3 linked regions of the Caenorhabditis elegans genome follow. The protein of the gene in region 1 purifies or fractionates together with the protein of each later gene. This does not show direct contact. Each region holds a gene or a part of one and is shown in the gene's direction. Other genes may lie near its edges.

The links.
Region 2: the proteins of ZK550.6 (region 1) and ddo-2 fractionate together in Caenorhabditis elegans (co-fractionation; one large-scale study listed by BioGRID). This does not show direct contact.
Region 3: the proteins of ZK550.6 (region 1) and memo-1 fractionate together in Caenorhabditis elegans (co-fractionation; one large-scale study listed by BioGRID). This does not show direct contact.

What each region holds. Positions count from the first base shown.
Region 1 is NC_003282.8:17,258,925-17,265,659, reverse strand, and holds ZK550.6 (putative phytanoyl-CoA dioxygenase), read left to right. Parts: upstream 1-3,174; 5' UTR 3,175-3,183; coding exon 3,184-3,330; intron 3,331-3,523; coding exon 3,524-3,773; intron 3,774-3,793; exon of another isoform or gene 3,794-3,814; intron 3,815-4,091; exon of another isoform or gene 4,092-4,115; intron 4,116-4,159; coding exon 4,160-4,341; intron 4,342-4,614; coding exon 4,615-4,753; intron 4,754-5,050; coding exon 5,051-5,271; 3' UTR 5,272-5,353; downstream 5,354-6,735. Other genes in the region: str-187 (Seven TM Receptor), read right to left, coding at 1-81; F26D10.13 (CaMKII_AD domain-containing protein), read left to right, coding at 861-1,115, 1,187-1,363; phyh-1 (phytanoyl-CoA dioxygenase), read left to right, coding at 6,288-6,345, 6,393-6,529, 6,579-6,663. UniProt on the Caenorhabditis elegans protein: Converts phytanoyl-CoA to 2-hydroxyphytanoyl-CoA.
Region 2 is NC_003283.11:7,431,899-7,438,402, reverse strand, and holds ddo-2 (D-aspartate oxidase 2), read left to right. Parts: upstream 1-3,370; 5' UTR 3,371-3,376; coding exon 3,377-3,558; exon of another isoform or gene 3,559-3,563; intron 3,564-3,800; coding exon 3,801-4,010; intron 4,011-4,055; coding exon 4,056-4,176; intron 4,177-4,280; coding exon 4,281-4,450; intron 4,451-4,494; coding exon 4,495-4,612; intron 4,613-4,669; coding exon 4,670-4,774; intron 4,775-4,823; coding exon 4,824-4,922; 3' UTR 4,923-4,936; downstream 4,937-6,504. Other genes in the region: F25E5.16 (BTB domain-containing protein), read right to left, coding at 1-81; F25E5.9 (uncharacterized protein), read left to right, coding at 484-555, 610-897; F25E5.8 (S39A8 protein), read right to left, coding at 1,499-1,717, 1,973-2,461. UniProt on the Caenorhabditis elegans protein: Selectively catalyzes the oxidative deamination of acidic amino acids. May play a role in the egg-laying events and early development of the worm, in addition to quality control of the germ cells.
Region 3 is NC_003283.11:7,842,612-7,850,043, reverse strand, and holds memo-1 (Protein memo-1 homolog), read left to right. Parts: upstream 1-3,050; intron 3,051-3,430; 5' UTR 3,431-3,507; coding exon 3,508-3,561; intron 3,562-3,875; coding exon 3,876-3,949; intron 3,950-4,300; coding exon 4,301-4,468; intron 4,469-4,514; coding exon 4,515-4,583; intron 4,584-4,635; coding exon 4,636-4,748; intron 4,749-4,797; coding exon 4,798-5,306; intron 5,307-5,359; coding exon 5,360-5,425; downstream 5,426-7,432. Other genes in the region: grd-8 (Ground-like domain-containing protein), read right to left, coding at 5,745-6,005, 6,129-6,407, 6,452-6,581, 6,633-6,849, 6,893-6,965, 7,340-7,432. UniProt on the Caenorhabditis elegans protein: Plays a role in the oxidative stress response and the maintenance of longevity by regulating the interaction between GTPase rho-1 and oxidase bli-3. In turn, this serves to modulate bli-3 activity and the control of reactive oxygen species production.

The sequences.
Region 1 (6,735 bases):
ATGCTTGAGAATAAGCCAAACCAGGAAACAGTTTAGGAGAAATGAAATAGCTGTGCACACAAGTTGATATATTGTGAACATTTTTTGGGATTTTAGAACTTGGAAAAAATATGAAAGTGGTAAAAAGGACGAATAACGAAGAAAAAAAATGAGCGAAGCTGATAACAATTCTCAGGAGAAATTATAGCTCCTATTGACGTTAGCCGTGAAAATTGATGGTTACAAAGGCGAAATTAGCGTTTCGGTCGGAATGATCGTGTCTAGAACATCTCAGCTGCCACTAGGGACAGGTGATTCATTTCATTGCTAAAGTGCTATTCATCTTACAAAAAATTGCAGGAAATTATAATTAATTTTTGTTAGAATTATAACTAATGGATTTTTCGAAGAGTAAGTAGCTTTCAAATTTTCATGAAAAACGATCCCACCTTTACAAATTCACAACTTTGAAATTTATATTTTTGAAATCTTTGGCACCAGATTCTAGTCAAATGGCATTTATCCAGTTATCTAGATACTCATTACAATGGGTTCCCATTTGAGAAAAAAAACGATGGCCGGTTTTTTCCTTTGCGGTCATGATACTAATATCACTCACTTGATATAAATTTGCTCTTGAAACAGTAACGTTTAAATGTTTCACATTTCACGAGCAATTTCATTTCAGATAGGTTCTCTCTTTTCAAATGTTTCTTTTGCGAACATCACGTTTTACTGTTCAAACACCACATCTTCCAAATTTTGGTTCCCAGCAAGTTAAGACACAGTTTTTCTGTATTCCCATCAGTTTTTACTTCCGCTTCACCATGTTTTCTTTTAAAAGCATTCCAAGTGTCAATAATTTCATTCTCCATCCGAAAATGTCGAAGCTCATCCTCTCCCTTCTCCTTGTCGCCTGCATTGCTGTTCAAATCAATGCTGCCGGAATCGGCAATGCCAAGAATATTCTGAAGTCGTTGGATAAGGCACTGGAGTCTCACGACATCAAGCGGTTCTTGAGCATGCATGACAGTAACTTCAACTTCAAGTTCTGTAAGGTTAGCGGAAAGAGTGTGGAAGATTTGAAGAAGATTTTGGAGCAGGATCCAAATATGTCAACCACCAAGAAGAGTAATGTAAGTTTCAGAAGCTCGGAAAACTTTTATGAATTTTGTTGCTTTCTGGCAAACAAGATCCCATTTTTCAGCATTTTGTCACCAGTAAAGTTACCAAAGACGGCGCAAACTACAAATTCGACTACGAGGAGTTCCTTCTTCTTAAGAACGACGAATTCTACAAGGCCGAGGGAACTATTTACTTCCAAGATGCACCAAAAGTCAAGATCATGAAGGCGACCGAAAAGTGTCCAGTGAAGATTTTCTAAAAATCTCGAATCTGGAATCATGATGTGAAATATATGAATAAAGAATCTTTTTAAAATATTTTGAAAATTCTATACATCTCTAAAAAAATGCAATCTCGTTATTACAAAAAGCAAAATCTTTCACCTTAAGCCTAGATGTAGGTAATGTTTGATGAACAGTAAATTTTGAAACAGTAAATTTTTGAATTACAAATTGAAATTTTTTTAAAATCTATTCAGAATCCCTATATCCGCATGCATCAGGGAACGTGCCAAATTTGAAAAATGTGTGTTTCTCAATCTCTAATCATTTATCATATGGTCATGACAACAACTGGTGTCAAGGTGTACGATAACGGTACACTGTGGCAATTGACACTCTTTTTTTCTTTATTTCTCTATTCAACAAGACTTGTATTTATTAAGAAAATGCAATGAGAGAGCGTGGTGATAAGACGGGTAATTCCCTCGCTTTTCTCATTTTTTGCGGTGTTGTGTTCGTGTCATTTGAGATAATCCATGTTGATTCCACTTTTATTGTTGATTTGATAGATGTTCCAAGTTTTTACTGCTTCCTGAAAGCATAATTCTTAAAAATAATGCTTCATAGCAGTTGTGGCTTCATACAATTTTCAAAAAAAAATTCACTGTTTCAAAAAAATTGAATTCAATTTCCTGCATTATGACGTACGTGTTAAAAAAATATGTTCACCTAAAAATTCCGCTCGAACTGTCGCGAAATCTGTGTTTCAGTGAAATAAAATAAAAACATCTAGACAAAATACAGTTCTCCTCAAAAATTGCTGTTTCAAAATAATAATTTAAAAAAAAACACCAAAGTGTCGTATTTAAATTTAAAAAAAAACTATCGTTTCAACAAAACAGGTTCAAATCTATTTTAGTATTAAAATCTATAACTTTATAAAATTTGCTATTTAGGTTTTACGAATTGTTGTTTTTTACTCTGAATTGTAAAATTACCGTTTCAAATATATTCTTCTAAATTCAAAAATTTAGTATACAATTTTTCTAGAAACATTGAAGTATTACCAGGAATTTTTGGATATTTCCTATAAATTCTATTTTGATCAATTTGTAGTTGTCTTATCATATATTGCATTGGATGATAATAGGAAATGATCCGATTCTCTTTCCTGTTCCAAAACTAGGTAAATGTACCTCATATATTTTGTTAATTTTGTAGTCACAATAACATGTTATGATAATAATATCGATAAAAAATATCGTGATGTTTAAACATTAAGTTTCATTTTTTTCGGTACTGTTCTAATTGTTCAAAACAATTTAAAAAATTTCGGTCAATTTATAGACAATACCGATTTTAATAATGAATGTAAAATTTTCACTGTTTCACTAATTTTATAACAATTTTCATTCCTTCCAATTCACATTGTGTTAGTGTAGTGATCATTACTTATATATTTTAAAAAAATAGGGTGTTAGTTTTTTCCGTTTGTCTGTTTGTTTCCGTGACGTCACAACGCATGAGACCCATTTTGGCGCAAATTCAAATTTCTTCAGAAAAATTTTGGTGCAAACTCAAATTTCTTCAGAAAAATTTTAGCGGGAATTCAAATTTCTTCTGAAAATTTTGGTGGGATTTCAAATTTGTTCAGAAAAATTTTGGTGCAAATTCAAATTTCTTCAGAAATATTTTGGTGGTTTTTTCTTCCGCGCCGGAGGCGCGATCAGCAGCTAGTTTTCAAATAAATTTACTGTTTCAAAAATACGATATTTTTTGCCTAATTTTTGAGAATATCACTATGACGTCTAAACGTAAAGCGATTCCATAATCTACTTCAAAATTCCAGGCTCCCCAAATGCTTGGCAAAGGTGTCGTTGATTATACCCGGGAAGGGTCAATTTTGAGTGCCGAGCAGAGGCGATTCTACGAGAAAAATGGATATCTGTTGATTCGAAACTGTGTTCCACAGTACGAATTGAACAGGTTCCGACAAAGATTTCAGGTGAGCAAATGCGCCCGGCTGCATAATTTTTGACTATAGGCTGGGATTAATAGTCCACAAAAATTGATGGGGCCTAAAGTTTCAGTTTTATTTCGACAATTTTTAATTTTGCGTCGAAGTATTTTTCAACCTGACTGCAACGAATTTTTTTACAAAGTTGTGACGTCACAATTTTCTAAAAATGTATTTTCAGGACATTTGCGAGAAAAAAGTAAAAGCTCCAGAAAACATGACCGTCATGAAAGACATTTCCATCGCAAAATCCGAATTCAAAGACGGTGAGAAGGCGATCACCAAGATCCAGGATTTTGCAGATGATCCAGTTCTTTTTGAGTACTGTAAGTATCCGGGAGTTGTCGATGTGGTGAAGGACTTGATTGGAAATCCAAAGTCGAATTTGATGGCAATGCATACAATGCTTATCAATAAACCACCAGATAATGGTAAGTTTTGAACTTTAAATTGTATTAGGATTTACTAGAAAATGTTAATTAAAATAAGACACGTTAAATAAAAAAGTTTGAAACAAATTTTTTTTTGATAATTATGAAACATGTCCAAAATTATCTTAAATTGTTATTTGTTTTGCCAAACCACACTCCTAACTGTAAAAAAATTGAAGAACGTAAAATATCTTGAATAGTCTATAAAGAGTTGTGAAAATTCGAAAATCAGTAATTCAAAAAAATTTTGAAAAAAATTCAAAATTTTCTACTGTTTCAAAATCGGTTCAAAAAATGAAAGTATTTTGAGAAGTTTACTGCTTATATCGTTCACAGAACAAAATTACAGAACATTTAATAATCAAGTTCTAATTATCATATTTAAGGAAAACTAACATCCCGGCACCCAATGCACCAAGATCTTCAATATTTCCCATTCCGTCCAGCAGATTTTATTTGTTGTGCTTGGACCGCAATGGAGAAGATCACAAGAGCAAATGGATGTCTGGTTGTTGTTCCCGGAACTCATAAAGGTGTTCTTTTGCCACACGAGTACCCGAAATGGGAGGTAAGTCCGCTAAGCTGAGTTTTGGTTTGGTTTGGTTTTGGCAGAGCTATTTACCACGTTGAATTCTTGTTTGAAAACTTGAAATTAAGTAATTTGAGAAAATTTGAGAAAAAAACAGCTAAACGAGCGAGCTAATATTTGACAGAGAAAAAGCCTAAGCTTGAGCCCGAGCTTAAGCGTAAGTCTAAGCTTCAGGATTACCCGAAGACTAGGTTTAAGCTTGCGCATAAGTCCACGTCTGAAGTTCGCTCTCAAAAAGTTCCTTATTTTCAGGGTGGTGTGAACAAAGCCTATCACGGAATCCAGGACTATGACACGTCGACGCCACGTATCCACGTGGAAATGGAACCCGGAGATACCGTATTCTTTCATCCAATTCTTATTCATGGTTCCGGAGCCAATAGAACTGAAGGTAACCATTTTTGAAACTTTGGAAAAAATTAAACAAGAAATTACTGTTTCAATGCTTTGATATAAAAACTATGAATCTCACAATTGTCGGTAAACTCTTCTAAAAAAGATATTTTTGCTTCTAACACAAATTTTCCCATCCTTTCGTTACTGTTTCAATGTTTTTATACAAAAAATGAAAATTCGCAGTAAATACTAATTTATTTTTAAAAGTTCAAATTCTTCTTAAATTGAGAACTCCCAGCTACAAAAATGCGTTGGACACGGGAGTTTCGGTGCAAAACAAAATTTTTTTCAGGATTCCGCAAAGCGATCTCCTGTCACTACGCAAATGACGACCTCTGCCGTTATGTAAACGTCGAGGGTACAACTCAAGAGACATTGGCAGAGGAGATCATCGAAATCGCCAAGAAGCGTCTGACAAGATATGGTCTCGACCCGAATACTGTAACCTTGGATTTCGCGGACATTTGGAGGGTTCGCGCCAGAGAGGTCAATGGGCGCAGATCTAATTTGTGATTTTTATGTTTAAAACTGTGAAATCGATCAGAGTTTGTCGATAATTTTTGTAATGTATTTCAGTTAATAAATTAACATTTTGAAAGCGAGTTTTTTCTTGAATTTTTGAAAAAAAAACAAATCATAAATACGTGAACAATTTCGTCAAAACATTTTTTTGCACAATTTTTTTCCCACTAACTTTGATAATATTGCTACATTGAATTCCAAATGAGTACTAAAAATAAGCGAGACTTGGGCAGAAGCTCAGAACTCAGAACTATTTAAACGAGAATTAATTACAGAAATGCGTTAAAATATTTATTTGTTTTGATGTCAGATATTAGTTTATTGAATTTATAAAACTTTCAGAAAAAAAAGACGTAAAAAACCAGTTTTCACTTATCCGTATTTTGGATGTCGACCAAAAAAAAAATAGCTACGAGTTTCACGTTTTGATTGTAATTTCTGGAATGTTCTAGGACATTTTGACGAATTCCAGAAAATTTTGAATTGTTCTAGGACCTCCTAAAAATTGAGAAGTTGAAAAATTTTAGAAAATTTTGGAACGCTCTATAATCTGCTGGAAACTTTGACAAAATTATGGAATGCTCTAAATCAGTTTAAAAACTCGATAGAACACTGTATTCTGGAATATTCTGGAACCTTTTGCCAAGTTTGACATAATTTTGGAAGTTTTCAGAATCGTCTGAAACATTCGGGGGAAAATTGGTGATTTTTTAAAAATTTTAATTGTATTTACACATTGCATTGAAAAATCCGCACGAAACCTTCATTAAAAATGGCTCCGAGATAGAATTAAAATGCTTTTGAGCATACTGTTAAAAGAAAGATAATGAGCAATAATATCCATAATTTCCAAAAAATCTAACCGCAGCAAAAAAGTTATGAAAATTAATTGAAAAAAAACGCGAACTCCGTCAAATGCCCAAAAGTCCACGTTTCCAAAAATATAAGAAGGGGGGGGGGGGGGAAGAGAAAATTGAACTTTGAAAATAATCATTACCATCTTCATCATGTCTCTGATGAAATCTCTCAGATTCGTGGTTCTTTCGACACGTGGATTTGCAAGCAGTGAGTTTTGAAAATCGATGGGCCGATCTTTTTACGGCAATTTTCAGAGCCCATTGTGGACTTCTCGAGCGCCGGAAAGGTTCTCAGTGTGGAACAAAAACAGTTCTATCAGAAAAATGGATTTCTTCTCGTGAGAGGATGCGTTGCAAAGGACGAATTGAAGAAGTACGAAAACCAGTTCAATGTAGGTTTTTTTCAGAAAGTATTCAGAAAATTGAGTACAAACATTTCAGGCGATTTGCGAACGTAAAGTGAAGCCTCCGCCAAATATGCTTGTCATGAAGGACGTGTCAATTGCGAAGAAGGTTACACCCGATAGTGAGTTGTCAAAAATTGCCAGAAATTTGTCGCTTCGCAGAACTTAACACATATGGGATTCTCGGAATCGTC
Region 2 (6,504 bases), on another chromosome or scaffold:
AATTAAAAACCGCATAATTGTTGTTTTCTTAACGTTAGCTTCCCCAATTTTCGCGTTGTGCTTCTCCTTTTTGCGACCCATATTTTTTTCGTGAGTATAATTTTATTTATTGAGGAAACTGAAAACGTAGTTTGTGGAAAGAAAAGTCGGAAAGAGGAAGACACGTTAGTAAAGCAAAACAATTTTTGCGGAAGTGACTGTAATTAAAACACATTGCACCTGTTTTGAATAAGATGTAATTCTTTTGAACAAGTTACATTTTTTTATTACAAACTTAAAATAGGAAATTAATATTTTTCTCAATTGGAATTAAGCCATCAGGCGTAGATTTGAAACATCTTGACAAAACACACAGGAAAAATTCTCAATTTATTTTCAATTCGAGATTTTTTTTTCTGTAATAAATCTGAAGTTTCAATTCCAAACAAGTTTTCCAATGAAACTAAAACTAATTCAAGAAAACACTAGCTAAAAAGTAAAAGAATGAAGCAAATCCTTGTCGTCCTCCAAGTGCGGAGCCCTGCTGACGGTGTGCATGTGCGTGAGAGTGTGCATGTAAGTGAGTGCCTTTTTCACTTCTTCCCCCTCTTCTCTCATCACTTGTTCAAGAGAAACGGCGCCATTGATTTGAATGAATGTCCGCTCTCTTTCTGTGTCTACTTTCTTCGTCTTCCGTCTTCTTCGTTTTGTCGAGACTTATGTGCTATATGCGGAGGAGCCAAGCCAACGTCTCTCTCAATTGAGGAGTGCATGTGTGCTCCACATTCATTTTTTTTGGTTTCAGTGGTTCTGTTGAAGAGAAGAACAAGAAGAAGAAGAACGGAGAAGAGTACAATTACGGAAATGCAGCCCGGCGAGGATTGCCAAAAAGGAGGAAATCGGAAATTGAACAGATAAATTGAAATGGAATTTTTTCCCAGTGATCGGTGAGCAAAGAAAACAAAAAGAAAATTGCTCAAAATTTGAATAAAATTATAAAAATAAAATAATATAATTGTTTAACATCGACTTTCGGACTATTCTCAGAGCTAATTTGCAATTACAAAATTTGAGATTATTCTTTAAAATTACAAGAAAATAGTTAGATAATTTTTTAAAAAGTATTTTCAATAAGATACCAAGTCTACAAAATAGATTGCCATGAAAATTAGCTGAAGGCCTTTATTGCAGTTCCTTATTTCCAACTTCCAAATATTCTCTCCCCTTTCCTACCTAGAAAACAATATTTGAACCTTGCAGCATGACTATATCCATTTCTCGCTTTTCACCTTCATCATCACATGTGGCCCTGGTCACATTTAAAAACCTATCAAAGTGTAATCGATAGTCAAATGATAAATTCTAAAGAAAAAGAATGCGCGAATGCGGTTTGGCCTTGTTGACCGATTTCCTATCTTTTCGCTGCGCATAAAACTGTTTGGACTGGTCACGTGTAACAACTTTTAATTTCAAATAAATTTATTTACATTGAGTTGATTCACATAAAAGCTAAAACTGGTCAATGAGTAACAACTCGATATGAAGCTACAGAACACTTTTTCTCAGGGAAATCAGTGTCGCTGTCGGAACTGGTAGTTCTTTTGATTTTATGAAGTTTTTCTTTCAGTGAGCTTGAGCTGACTACTCGTGATATGCATGGCGATTGGTTTTTGATAAAATGAGCATGAAGGATATTTTGTTCGTTTGGTGGAGTCGCAAGAACCGTTGGAACTTCGTCCTGAAAAATTGAAAATTTTTGATCCGAGATGGTTGGGTTTGAAGCTTAACATAAAATAGAAAAAACACATAAGGTGAAAGTTTTAACGTGTCAGAAAAGTTTCAGATTTTTAAAGCGTTTAACTTTCGAGAAATTAAGGCTACACAACATTTTTTTTCTAGGCTACACAACCTTTTTGCATTTGACTCTCGGCGCATATGTTTCAATTAGTGGCTAAAAGTTGAAAAAAAGTTTAAAAAGAAAAAGATAACTTACCGCTCCAACAGTGATATTAATCGAATGCTTGTGACATTGTTCTTGCTTCGAGCACGGACATTCACTTCCAGTCGAGTTTTTCCTTGCCGGCGTAGAAGCTCCAGAATTTTGCTTCGAGTGTGGATGCTCTCCGTGATGATGATGGTGGTGCCCAATATGAAATAGATCTTTGAAATGAGCAGTCAATCCGTGATGCTTCTTTTCTTTTAATGAGGATCCCGACCCGGACACATCACTGTGATTGGAATGTGTGTCGCCGTCGTTTTCAACAACCGGTGGCAAATGCTTTTTACCAGAATGTTTTCCAAAGTACAACGAATGTCCATGATGTTCCTTATGGTGATGTTCTTCTGGTTTATGGCTTCCAGATGTACCTTCTTCAGATCCTTCCTCAAAGTTTCCAGTTGACCTTGACGCTTTAAAATCTGGAGTGTGCTGAAATCCAGAAAACTCCGAAACCAGCTCAGCTATGACGTGAGGGACTTTCATTTGAGAATGATTCTGAAAATCATATAAATAAAAAAAAAAAAATAAAACATTTAAAAAAATAGAAAAAAAATCGAAGAAGTGTGGAATACCGTTCAAAACCGCTAGCGCATGACTATGTTATATAGAATACCGTCTTATCGTTCTTTGTGTCACCAAATCCCGCCCATTTGGGGTCCTTGCTTCTTTGGTTTCGATGGCGGGAGGAGGGTTTGAGAAGATATATAGTATGGGTACTTTCGTTCATTGAACGTTTCAATCTGACCGGAGTGTTTTGAGTACGTGCTAATTCAAATTATAATTTGGGACTTGTTTTGACTAATTCGTTGATCACTGATATTTGTTTAAGGCAGAGTACATTTTTTCATGTTTTCATTAAATTACCTGAAATTAACCTTACAATTAGGTTGTTAGGCATTTAAGAATCCCAGTAGTTGTTTTTTTTTTGCATAGAAAATATATACATTTTGAATAAAAAAATATTGACAAGTTGAAAGAAAAACGAAGACCCTGAATGAAAATTCTGAATGCAATTCTGTCCTTTAAGATCCCGGTTTTTTTCAACTTTATCATCATCAAAATTTTTCTCCCATCGTTTCAAGAATCTTATCCAAAAAATGAACTGTGAATTTTGTTTTTTGGAGCCTTATTCACTCCCGTTCAGCCATAGTCTCTTCATTTTTCAACCCTTCTAACTGGCTGCGTCTCGCATTTCACCACTCTCTCAGCTATTATCGAGAGCAGCCACGAGGTCGGAATGTGCGTTCTTTGATGAGCAGATAAGTGTATAAAAGTGAGTTCATTTTAACAAACGTGAACTTTATTTCTCATCATGATCAAAAATCTACGCATTTTCCTATTATATTTTCGCAATTTCTAAACAAAGACTTCTTCATTTCTTAATTAATTCAGAATAAAATGGCAAACATAATTCCGAAGATTGCAATTATCGGCGAAGGAGTCATTGGATGTACTTCAGCACTTCAAATATCAAAAGCTATACCAAATGCGAAAATAACTGTGCTCCACGATAAACCATTTAAAAAATCGTGCAGTGCAGGACCAGCAGGATTATTTAGAATCGATTATGAGGAGAATACGTGAGGTTCTTTGATAAATAAATAAAAAAAATTCTGAAAAAATTGGAATAACATAACAAACAGATAACCAAACTTGCTTGATTATCCTATTTTTTATAGTCCTATTTTTTTCAAATTAAAAACTAATTACAAAAAAAATATTAAATCCTAGAAAAGTGTTGCCACGGGCCAAAAATGCTATTAATAGCTTTAGAATAAATAATTTTATTACCAAAATATTTTTTTTAACGTAATATTTTTAGTGAATACGGACGTGCTTCTTTCGCCTGGTTCTCACATCTCTATCGCACTACAAAAGGATCCGAAACCGGCGTGAAATTAGTTTCTGGACATATTCAATCCGACAACTTGGAGTCATTGAAGCAACAACAAAGAGCCTATGGCGATATTGTGTACAACTTTAGATTCTTGGATGATAGAGAACGGCTGGACATTTTTCCCGAACCATCAAAGTGGGCTTCTTAGCGTCACATCTTTTGCTATACTGTGGCTTTCAGGCACTGCATTCACTACACCGCCTACGCATCAGAAGGTAACAAGTACGTGCCTTATTTGAAGAATTTGCTGCTTGAGCAAAAAATCGAGTTCAAGCAACAAGAAGTGACGAGTTTGGACGCAGTAAGTTGGCGACCGAGAAGTCAAAAAACAAGATCACCCCTCCCTTATTTCTGAACCCATACCCATCATAACCTGGAGAGTAATGTCTAACAAATTCATTCTAGGTCGCCGACGCTGGTTACGATGTTATTGTAAACTGCGCAGGCTTGTACGGTGGAAAGTTGGCTGGTGATGACGATACTTGCTACCCCATTAGAGGAGTCATTTTGGAAGTTGATGCACCATGGCACAAGCACTTCAATTATCGAGACTTTACTACTTTCACAATTCCAAAGTGAGTAGAAGCCGATAAATTAATATTATGTGCCAAATCTTTAGAGAGCACAGCGTGGTGGTTGGGTCCACCAAGCAGGACAATCGATGGGATTTGGAGATCACCGACGAGGATAGAAATGATATTTTGAAACGATACATTGCTTTACATCCTGGAATGAGAGTGAGAATTAGTTTTTTTTAAATTTAAGTTGATTGAAAAAGTTGATTTATGATTTAGGAGCCAAAGATTATCAAAGAATGGTCAGCACTTCGCCCGGGACGTAAGCATGTCAGAATTGAAGCGCAGAAGAGGACATCTGTTGGAAACTCAAAAGATTATATGGTAGGTATCACAATTATCTTTTTTTATGTGTTCAAAATGTTGATTTAAGGTTGTGCATCACTATGGTCACGGGAGCAACGGATTCACGTTGGGTTGGGGAACAGCAATTGAAGCAACTAAACTTGTTAAGACTGCACTAGGATTATAAATATTTGTTCAAGGGTTTCAGTAAATTAAGGTTATATTTCAATAGACTCGACGGGTCATAAGAATAATTAAAAAAACAACTAAATTTTTATATGCGTTTCAATTAGTAGATACAACAGCATGCAATCTGATTATGATTTTTGTTTCCATTCAATGATGGAAATATCTAAAAACTTTATGTTGAAAAATTAAACATCGATTTGCAATTCTCCGATTAGAAAAGTCTCAGGAGGTACAATAGACATCACATAGTTAACATTTTTATGCGATATTGCTCCTAGTCGCCTGAATTTTTTTAATTTCTCGTTCATTATTGAACACTCAATTCACCGGGGTGACAACTACTTTACTTTTTCCAAAATACCACATCTCCTTCACTGTTCTTCTGTAATTGGAGGACATTGAGAAATTGATCAAGTGGGACATTGCGTTGAAACAAAATAAAGTTGACATGTATACAGGCGCATAGGTGACAAGTATGATAAGAATCGAACCGAAGTCTATTTCCACGAAAAGTGTGAGAAAATTAAGGACACCGCCTGGTGCGCCGACTATGAAATATAACACGGCCATTACCAAAATCATACGGGCAGAATGGTATCTGAAAATAGCTTTGAACCACAAAAGCAAATTTCCGTTTAAAATCTGGTGATTTGCCATCTTAACACATTATTTCCTGCTGTTCTTGCTTAGGAGTCAACCTCCAGTTGTCTACTTTTGCCATGTAGTTTTGTCTCTACTAAAGGTGCGATCTAGAATAATTATTTGAGACTATGGCAACACAATTTATTTGGCAACTCGTAGCCATGTTGAGCAAACATTCATACCTTTCAAGAGCTGTTTTCTGACTCAATTTTGCAGAAGCAAACTTAGCTGATTTGCAAACTTCGTACATCAAAAACAATGCCAAAATTGGGTATAGTATGTTTATTGGGGCCTGGAAGAGTAATTGCATTATCTGGGTTTTTAATGTGCTTTGTTTAAAACTCACTCGATATACTCCGCTGAATATGTTACTGGCAATTCACTATTTTCAATTTCCCGGGAATAAATTGACTATGTGTGTTTTGCTGCATATCCTGTGCACCTGGAATTTGAATATTGATTTTCTATGTTTTGAAAATGCAGACTTTTTTGGTGGCTTCCAAAAACTTGACGTTTGAATGTAAAATTGCACATAGTAAATACCAGATGCCAATGTGAGCAAAATCAAAATCATTAGAGACAAAAGACAACCTGTGATAGGTTTTGCGAAGTTCTCAAACCGCCCAGTAGTTTTCATTATAACTAGACGAATTAATGCAAGAATTACACCAAATGAGAAGGATGACTTTTCAGAAACGTCACTCAAAAAATCAAAAATCCATTGGCGGCTCACAACAAATAAATATGATTCGATATTGATGCAAATATTATTAGAAATCCAATACTTCCGTACCAAATCATTTAAATTTGCCGTTAAGAAAATAACATCACATAACGCAATTCCAATCATAAGGGAATTTGTACTTGAAGTTCGCATAGAGCTTCTGGTTAATATGAATACATGAGAAATATTTATGATGATTCCAGCGATAGAAATT
Region 3 (7,432 bases), on another chromosome or scaffold:
TTGTGGAGTAATCGGAGCTTCTTGCATCATGCCTCCGAAAAATTTGCTGAACAGGCTCATTTTCTGCAAAAAATAAATGAAACAGTGAATACGCAAAACACTTAAAAAGAAGTTGTAAGACGTAAAAAGAGCACAAGTGGAGACGACAATCAATGGATATATCATCACTTCAACCAAATAGCCGCGAAGCAAAAACTTCATCATTTTTAGATAGTGTAATTGAGAAGAACAAAAAAATGATCACCTGATAGGAAAACCATCAGTGAATGAATGTATTGAAAGGTAAAATTGGTAGCTTATTTTACTAATAGCAATGGCCCGCCTTCGAGAGAATTGCTAAGGAGACTTAGTACAAACAAAACGACAATGGACGAAGTGGCGATCTATTAACATCGCAAAAACGAACGTGGCCACGTGGCTTAGTTATCATGCTTCTTCGATTATTTTCAGTTCCTCTATCCCACATCCGCACCTGGGCTGATCTTACGGTACTGTTCCTATTTTAATCTTCACTTACTGACCGCTCAAAACTACGATTGGAGGTCTTGCCACGGCCATCGGCCATATTCCGAAGTACGGTCATTTGAAGCCAAAATATGGGCGGAGACTATTTAAGGTCTTCCAATTTTTTTTTGTATTTTATTTGAAATTGTTGATTGGTTCAGATATATTCGACATAATTTCTAACTTTTTTCCGCAATGTTTCAGAATGTTTTGGGTTATTTTTCTCAATATTTTTTCGAATTTTCTCCGAACTCCTTCATCTTGGAAGCTGAAAGGATGGGGTGTCATGGAACTAGCAAATGTAAAGCATCCATGGTAGGCAGGCACATCTTCAGGCGCACGTGGTGTCAGAGTGTCATGCTCGGTTTGATTTACGTAAAACTACGAGAATTGCGGACTTCACATTTTTTTGGGGAAAATTTGTTGAATTATTTTTGTAGAACAAGCGTCCCTTTCTCGTACCTGTTAGTTACAATAGTCATTTTGGCGTGATCTTCGGTGTTTTGTTTATCGATACAGTGCGAATTCAAAATGCAAATATTCCCGATTTTTATCCAGAACAAAAAATAAGTCACTGGCTGATTTTTCGTTGCCTTTTGCATTAAGGAGTACTGTAGTTTCCAGATCCGTCGTTGGTCGTTTTATAGTAAATAAGTTTTTCAATAAATTTTGAGAAAACAAGAGAAAAGCTATTGAAATCAAAATTAAAAATTTCTATGTAGTTCTACCACAACAAGGATGCTCTAGTTGGGAACTTTAGTGCTCGTTGAGACGCACACTCGTTTGCTTTTGATAAATCGATCCTGTCGAAACCCAACACAGTATTTTCTGAGAAAAATATACATATTGCATCTGGGTACAACTTGGTCCAGAAAAGTTACAATGTAATTGTTTTTCTATTTTCCCACGATCACTTTACATTTTCCGTTCCCTTACATAAATTTTCACCTATAAAAATGAACAAACATGGATCGACCGAACTGACGACCCGGGGCGGAGAGCGGGCAAAGCGAGGAAGAGAGTGAGAGCGTTTTGTGAGCGAGCGTCAGGCCAGGCAGTCAGCTGAGTGTCTCTGCCTCCCCACTCACGTTCGATTTCTCGTGTACTTCTTGCCCGTGACCCGTTGTGAGATGTCTCACGTTTTAGTCTTTTTTATCTTGTTTAATTGCCCCATTTCACTTTCAAGTACTCATTTATTACTTTTTTCGTTTTTTGGATAGTTATTTTTCCAAAATTAATTTTTGATTGAAAATATAAAGAATCTACATTCTAATTTAATCAAACAATTTTCTTCATAATTGTTTTTGAACCCCGTGAAAAATGTATAAAGATTCAAAGTCAAATCAAAGATATAGGCGTATTGCGTGACCAAACATTTTCTCGTTTTCCCTTCCCAGCAGCCACCGAGTGAGTGTTTTTCTACCACAGCAATGTGAGCGAATGTGAGCGTCAAAAGAGAGTGTCTTTTTCTCTTTTTTTTGCATTTTCGTCTAAAAGTAGAAACGAAGATAAATGAAAGGGCTGAATGAGGGCTGGATGGACCCGATGACCGCTGAAAAGTGCATTGTTCAGAACTGGAATATGGGAATATTTCGGGGGAAAAAGTATTAGGCAACGAGAAAAACAATCATTCGTGTCTAAATACCTGCCGTAGGTGTAAACAAGACGGAATGGAAGATGGATGATACGAAGTAAATATTGACTCCGTGGTTTACATTTTCAGCTGAAAATACTTACGGCTCTTAGAAATAGGCTTGATACGCATAGATTTTATACCGAAAAATGTTCAGTGTACCAGGAAAATTTAGACAATTTCTTTCAGAAAACTTTGCAAAGCTTATTATTAGTTACAATTGTTATAAAATGAAGAATGCCAAAAATCAAGTTTTATATTGAAAGTCAAATAGGCATGAGGCAGGTATGTAGGCATGAAACTTTGCCTGCCTATAATGGAAGACATAAACGAGTGAACACGAAATAAAGTAGTGAACACGAAATTTTAAAAAAAAAAAGGCAGATTTTCTACAAACCTACCACTTTTTCCATTCTTGGAACTCCCCTTCTTGGCCCTCTTCCAATATTCAAGTGCGAAAAAGACTGAAACAGTGGCCCCTCTAGTGTCAAATGTCTGCCGATTCCATTGTTCTCGTTCTATTTCACTGCCTCCCCTATTGTGTTCTTTCTCCCATCACCCAATACTCTCTTTTTAGTCTTCTTTTTCTTCTAAATACTATCGGCTGGTGTTGTAGAAGAGCGTCTTTCCTTTCATTCTTTTGGCATGCATCCTCATCCCTCTTCATTATTATTATTATGATTATTATATGGCATTGCTTCAGGCAGCCAGTTTCACATCACAAAAAGTGTCAAATTTTCAGGTAATTGGTAGACTGAAGACTACTCGCGGCGGTCCGACAAGACGACGACGACCAGCACAAGATCAGCGCGGTCCTCTTCAATACCATCCACGTCGAGACACGTCGAACGCGAAACAGTCAAACTGTTTGACAGAACCCTCAAATCACTCCCTTCACACATTCTTTTTACGGGTAATTTCAGACATTTTTGGGTGGAATGCAAAGTTTTAAAACGTTTTTCTTATGATTATTTGTATGGGTAGCTTTTTGAAAGAAGCCTCTAAAAAATTTCAGGCGCGCTCTGACGGAAACTTGACGGCGATGTTTAATATTCAAAGTTTCTCTACGTCTCCCGAGTTTAAAAATTTTATATTCTTGGTCTTGATGCGCAGTTTGGATTGGAGCCTACATTTCGTTTTTGAAAAGTGTATTTTAAAACAGGCCCACAATCATGATTATCTTGATTGTTTAATTTTAGTCACGAGACCATCTCAATTTTTGAATAACGGTGACCTTTTGTCAAAAGAAAATTTCAAAGGATTCCACAATCTATTTCAATTTCGTCTTTTTAGACCGAATCTTCTTTGAACAATTATGCGTTCAGCAAAAATGAAAATTGGCTGCGAACACGAACAAGATTCGTCTGACCATGTCCACGTGGCGGGCTTCACTCGGGAACACAATTTTGGTTTTTTGTCTCAAGGTTCTGAAACTTTCGAAAAAAAGCACACACTTTGCAAAATGCTTTTTTTTTGAAAAAAAAACCAAAATCAGCATTTTTGGATTTTCACTTTTTTCTCAAAATTTTCCTTCGTTTTTTTTTTGGAAAGAAATCAGTTTTCAAAACTGAAATTCAATGAAAAAAAAAACACTTTTTTGTTGCATCAACATTTTCGGATTGCCACATTTTGCTCTAAATTGTTCTTGATTTTTTTTGGACAAAAAATGTTTTCAGAATAGATAATAGTTTAAAATTCAGTTCAAAAAACAAAATAGAAGCAAATCCTGTTGTTGCAGGTATTTCAAAACTCTCGTGCTCTATTTCTCAGGACATTTGGCCTTCCTTTTGCAAGATATCTGAATTTTATTTTGTAAGTGTTTCTCGGAAATTATTCAGAATGAAAAACCAGATTCCCATTTCTATTTCGGACATAAACCAAATTAAAAATTTATTTTCTTTCGAGCCAGTTCCCCGGACTTGATTCGAATTCGTGAAGTAGAGCTAGCCCGATGGCTCATATTTTTAGAACATCTTGAATTAAGTGTGATGTTACACTGTATTGTGAATTTTAATATTAATTAATTAAAATTATTTGAATATTTAAATTCAAACTTTTCCATTTTTCAATGTTGACTATTTGGGAAACACACAGTAGTTGAAAACCCTACTAAACATATTAATCAAGTCGTATACAACAATTTATCAAAACTTTAATATTCAGACCATCTGAATTTAAAATGTCACTAAACGGATTCGGCGAGCACACGAGATCTGCCTCACATGCCGGATCATGGTACAACGCCAACCAGCGAGATCTTGATCGGCAACTCACAAAATGGCTTGACAACGCCGGTCCACGGATTGGAACGGCTCGAGCGTTGATTTCACCGTAATACTCTAAATGCATTTAATATTTATTTTCTGATAACTTTCAGACATGCGGGATATTCGTATTGTGGAGAAACAGCTGCATATGCTTTCAAACAAGTTGTTTCATCAGCAGTGTGAGTTGTTGAAATTTGTACTTGGCAACAGGGCTTACTCAATAACTTTCAGTGAAAGAGTCTTCATTCTTGGCCCATCTCACGTTGTTGCTCTAAATGGATGTGCTATAACCACATGCAGCAAGTACAGAACTCCACTCGGCGACTTGATCGTTGATCACAAAAGTAATCTATTGCACTCTTAGTACATCTTTTACAACATTGCCCTTTGCAGTTAACGAGGAGCTTCGTGCCACTCGTCATTTCGATTTGATGGATCGCCGAGATGAAGAATCAGAGCATAGTATTGAAATGCAACTCCCATTTATTGCAAAGGTTATGGGTTCAAAACGTTACACCATTGTTCCGGTACTTGTTGGATCTTTACCAGGATCTAGGCAGCAAACGTATGGAAATATTTTTGCTCATTACATGGAGGATCCAAGAAACTTGTTTGTGATCTCTTCGGACTTTTGCCATTGGGGAGAACGCTTCAGCTTTTCTCCGTACGATCGTCATAGTTCTATTCCGATTTATGAGCAGATAACCAATATGGATAAGCAGGGAATGAGCGCAATTGAGACGCTTAATCCGGCAGCTTTTAATGACTACCTCAAAAAGACCCAGAACACGATTTGTGGGCGTAATCCGATATTGATAATGCTGCAAGCAGCCGAACATTTCCGGATCAGTAACAATCACACTCACGAGTTTAGATTCTTGCATTACACACAATCAAACAAGGTAGAGATTCAGAATTGCTTAATATTTTTCAATCAACAATAAATCCATTTCAGGTTCGATCATCGGTCGATTCTTCTGTTTCTTATGCTTCAGGAGTTCTATTTGTACATCCAAACTGACATCCCGCCAGTCCTTCACTCTTTTTTCTACGTATTTTCTTTTGCAACTACTGTCTTCTTCCTGAATTGTTGTGTAATATGTGTAAATTGAAAATCTGTTTATAGGCTCTTTTCTCCTTCTATTCAGGATTCGAGCACAGTTAATTGTGTTACTTCATCAACTTTTCACCTCCACCTAAATTTTCGAATTTTCTCCCATTCCGATTGAAAACTTTCGAACTATTCAAATGATATTTCCAACTTTATTGTGATTGGCAAATAAACAATTAATTCACATTTCAGCTTTAATATACAGAAATCTTTAAAGCTAGACCCTCCATTATTTAATGGGACCGTAGACAATGTAGGTGGGCTTGGTACCATTGACACCATCCAAATCCTTATCAGCAGCTCCCGAGAAGAATGAGCTAGCATCGACAATGTTCACCTCTTGCTCGGCGATTGGAGTTGCGTACGCTAGTATGAATTTCCCATCGATTTCTATTTTACAGTTCAGGTCACCGGCAAAATTAATTTTTGCGACGAAGTCCGAATGAGCAGCGACTGATTCGAAAGTTGTTCCGAATTTTTTTTCGGCTTGCTGAAATTTGGTGGATATTTTAAGCTTATTCAAGTTGTAATTCAAGTCGTAATTCAAGTTGTAAGCTTATTCAATTCTAGGGAAGAGCACATTACATTATAAAATGAAATCCATAAACCCCACCGCTTGCACTGCAGTTGCCATTTTCTGTACATTGCACAGTGATGCACCATCTGCTTTTGCGGCCAGGTACGCGTCTTCCATAGTTTTCTCAAGTGTCACGTTACAGCAAAGGAATCCCGACGGGTTCGTGAAACAGTTTGGTCCTGGTGGCGGTGGCGGTGGAGGCGGAATGACTACAGGCACCGGAACGAAGAATCCATTGTTACCACCACCACCAGTACCTCCTAGACCGCCGTTTAGAAAGAACGAGAGTGGGGAGAATCCTCCGGGGCCTCCTTTCTGTAAAATGAATTGAGTTTGTAAGTTCTAACCTTGCATCTTACCCCTCCAAGTAAACTTTGATAGAATTGTCCACCGCCCAGAGCCGTATAGGTATGACCTTTCTGAGCACGTTGAGCTTCTGGTGTTAAGCTGGTGTACCTGTCGTTCAAGTTTTGAGCAATTCCTCCGATGCTGGAAATTGTATCCAATTACTTGAAAGATCAATTAACTAAAATCACAAACTTTCCCTTCTTCAAGCCGACTGATGCGGGAGTAGTAAGTGGTCCAACAGATGCAATCGTAGTCATTTCATACGGCATTGCAGGTGGTTCAACTACAGTAACCGGTGGGACCATTGGTGCAGGAGGTGGTGGAGAATAAGCATCGACTGGATGTGGTTGTGGGGCCATCGCTTGCTTGTACTCAGCGTAGTTCATTCCTTGCACATCGGTATTGTGAGCTTGAAGTTAAATTTAGAAAATCAGATAAAAAATTGGGCCTACCATAAGCTGGATTGTGTTCTCCAGTTAAATAGCGTGGTGGAGCTTGAAGAATCTTCTCAGATGGCGGGGCAAACTGAAATTTTTCATGTTTTTGTATAAGTAATTTTAGATGGAATTCTGTAACCAAATCAAGACCTTCATGAATAATACTTGATTGTAAGGCTCCCCGTAGGCGAGCTTTGCCGGCCTAGTGCCTACACGCCTTAATAGTGCAAAATAAACCTGATTCAAATATTTATCAATCTTAAAGTGTATAGCGGATTCCCAAAAACTTTCGGACGCTTCGGAAAGCTTAGATTTACAGACACCAAACTTTTGATTTCTCTCCAAAAGCTAGCCTGTTGGCAGGTAAGGCAGGGAAATGAGTATGCGCAAGCCTACTTTAAATTTTTGTCCTAGAAAATAATTTGAAGCCTGAAATTCATTTAACAAAAAGCGAAAATTTACCGTCGCTGGAATATACGCATCTCTTTGAAAATTACTCGCCGCATCCGCAGGAAACGTGAACCCACTAGGAAGGCGTACAAATTTCTGTTTTCG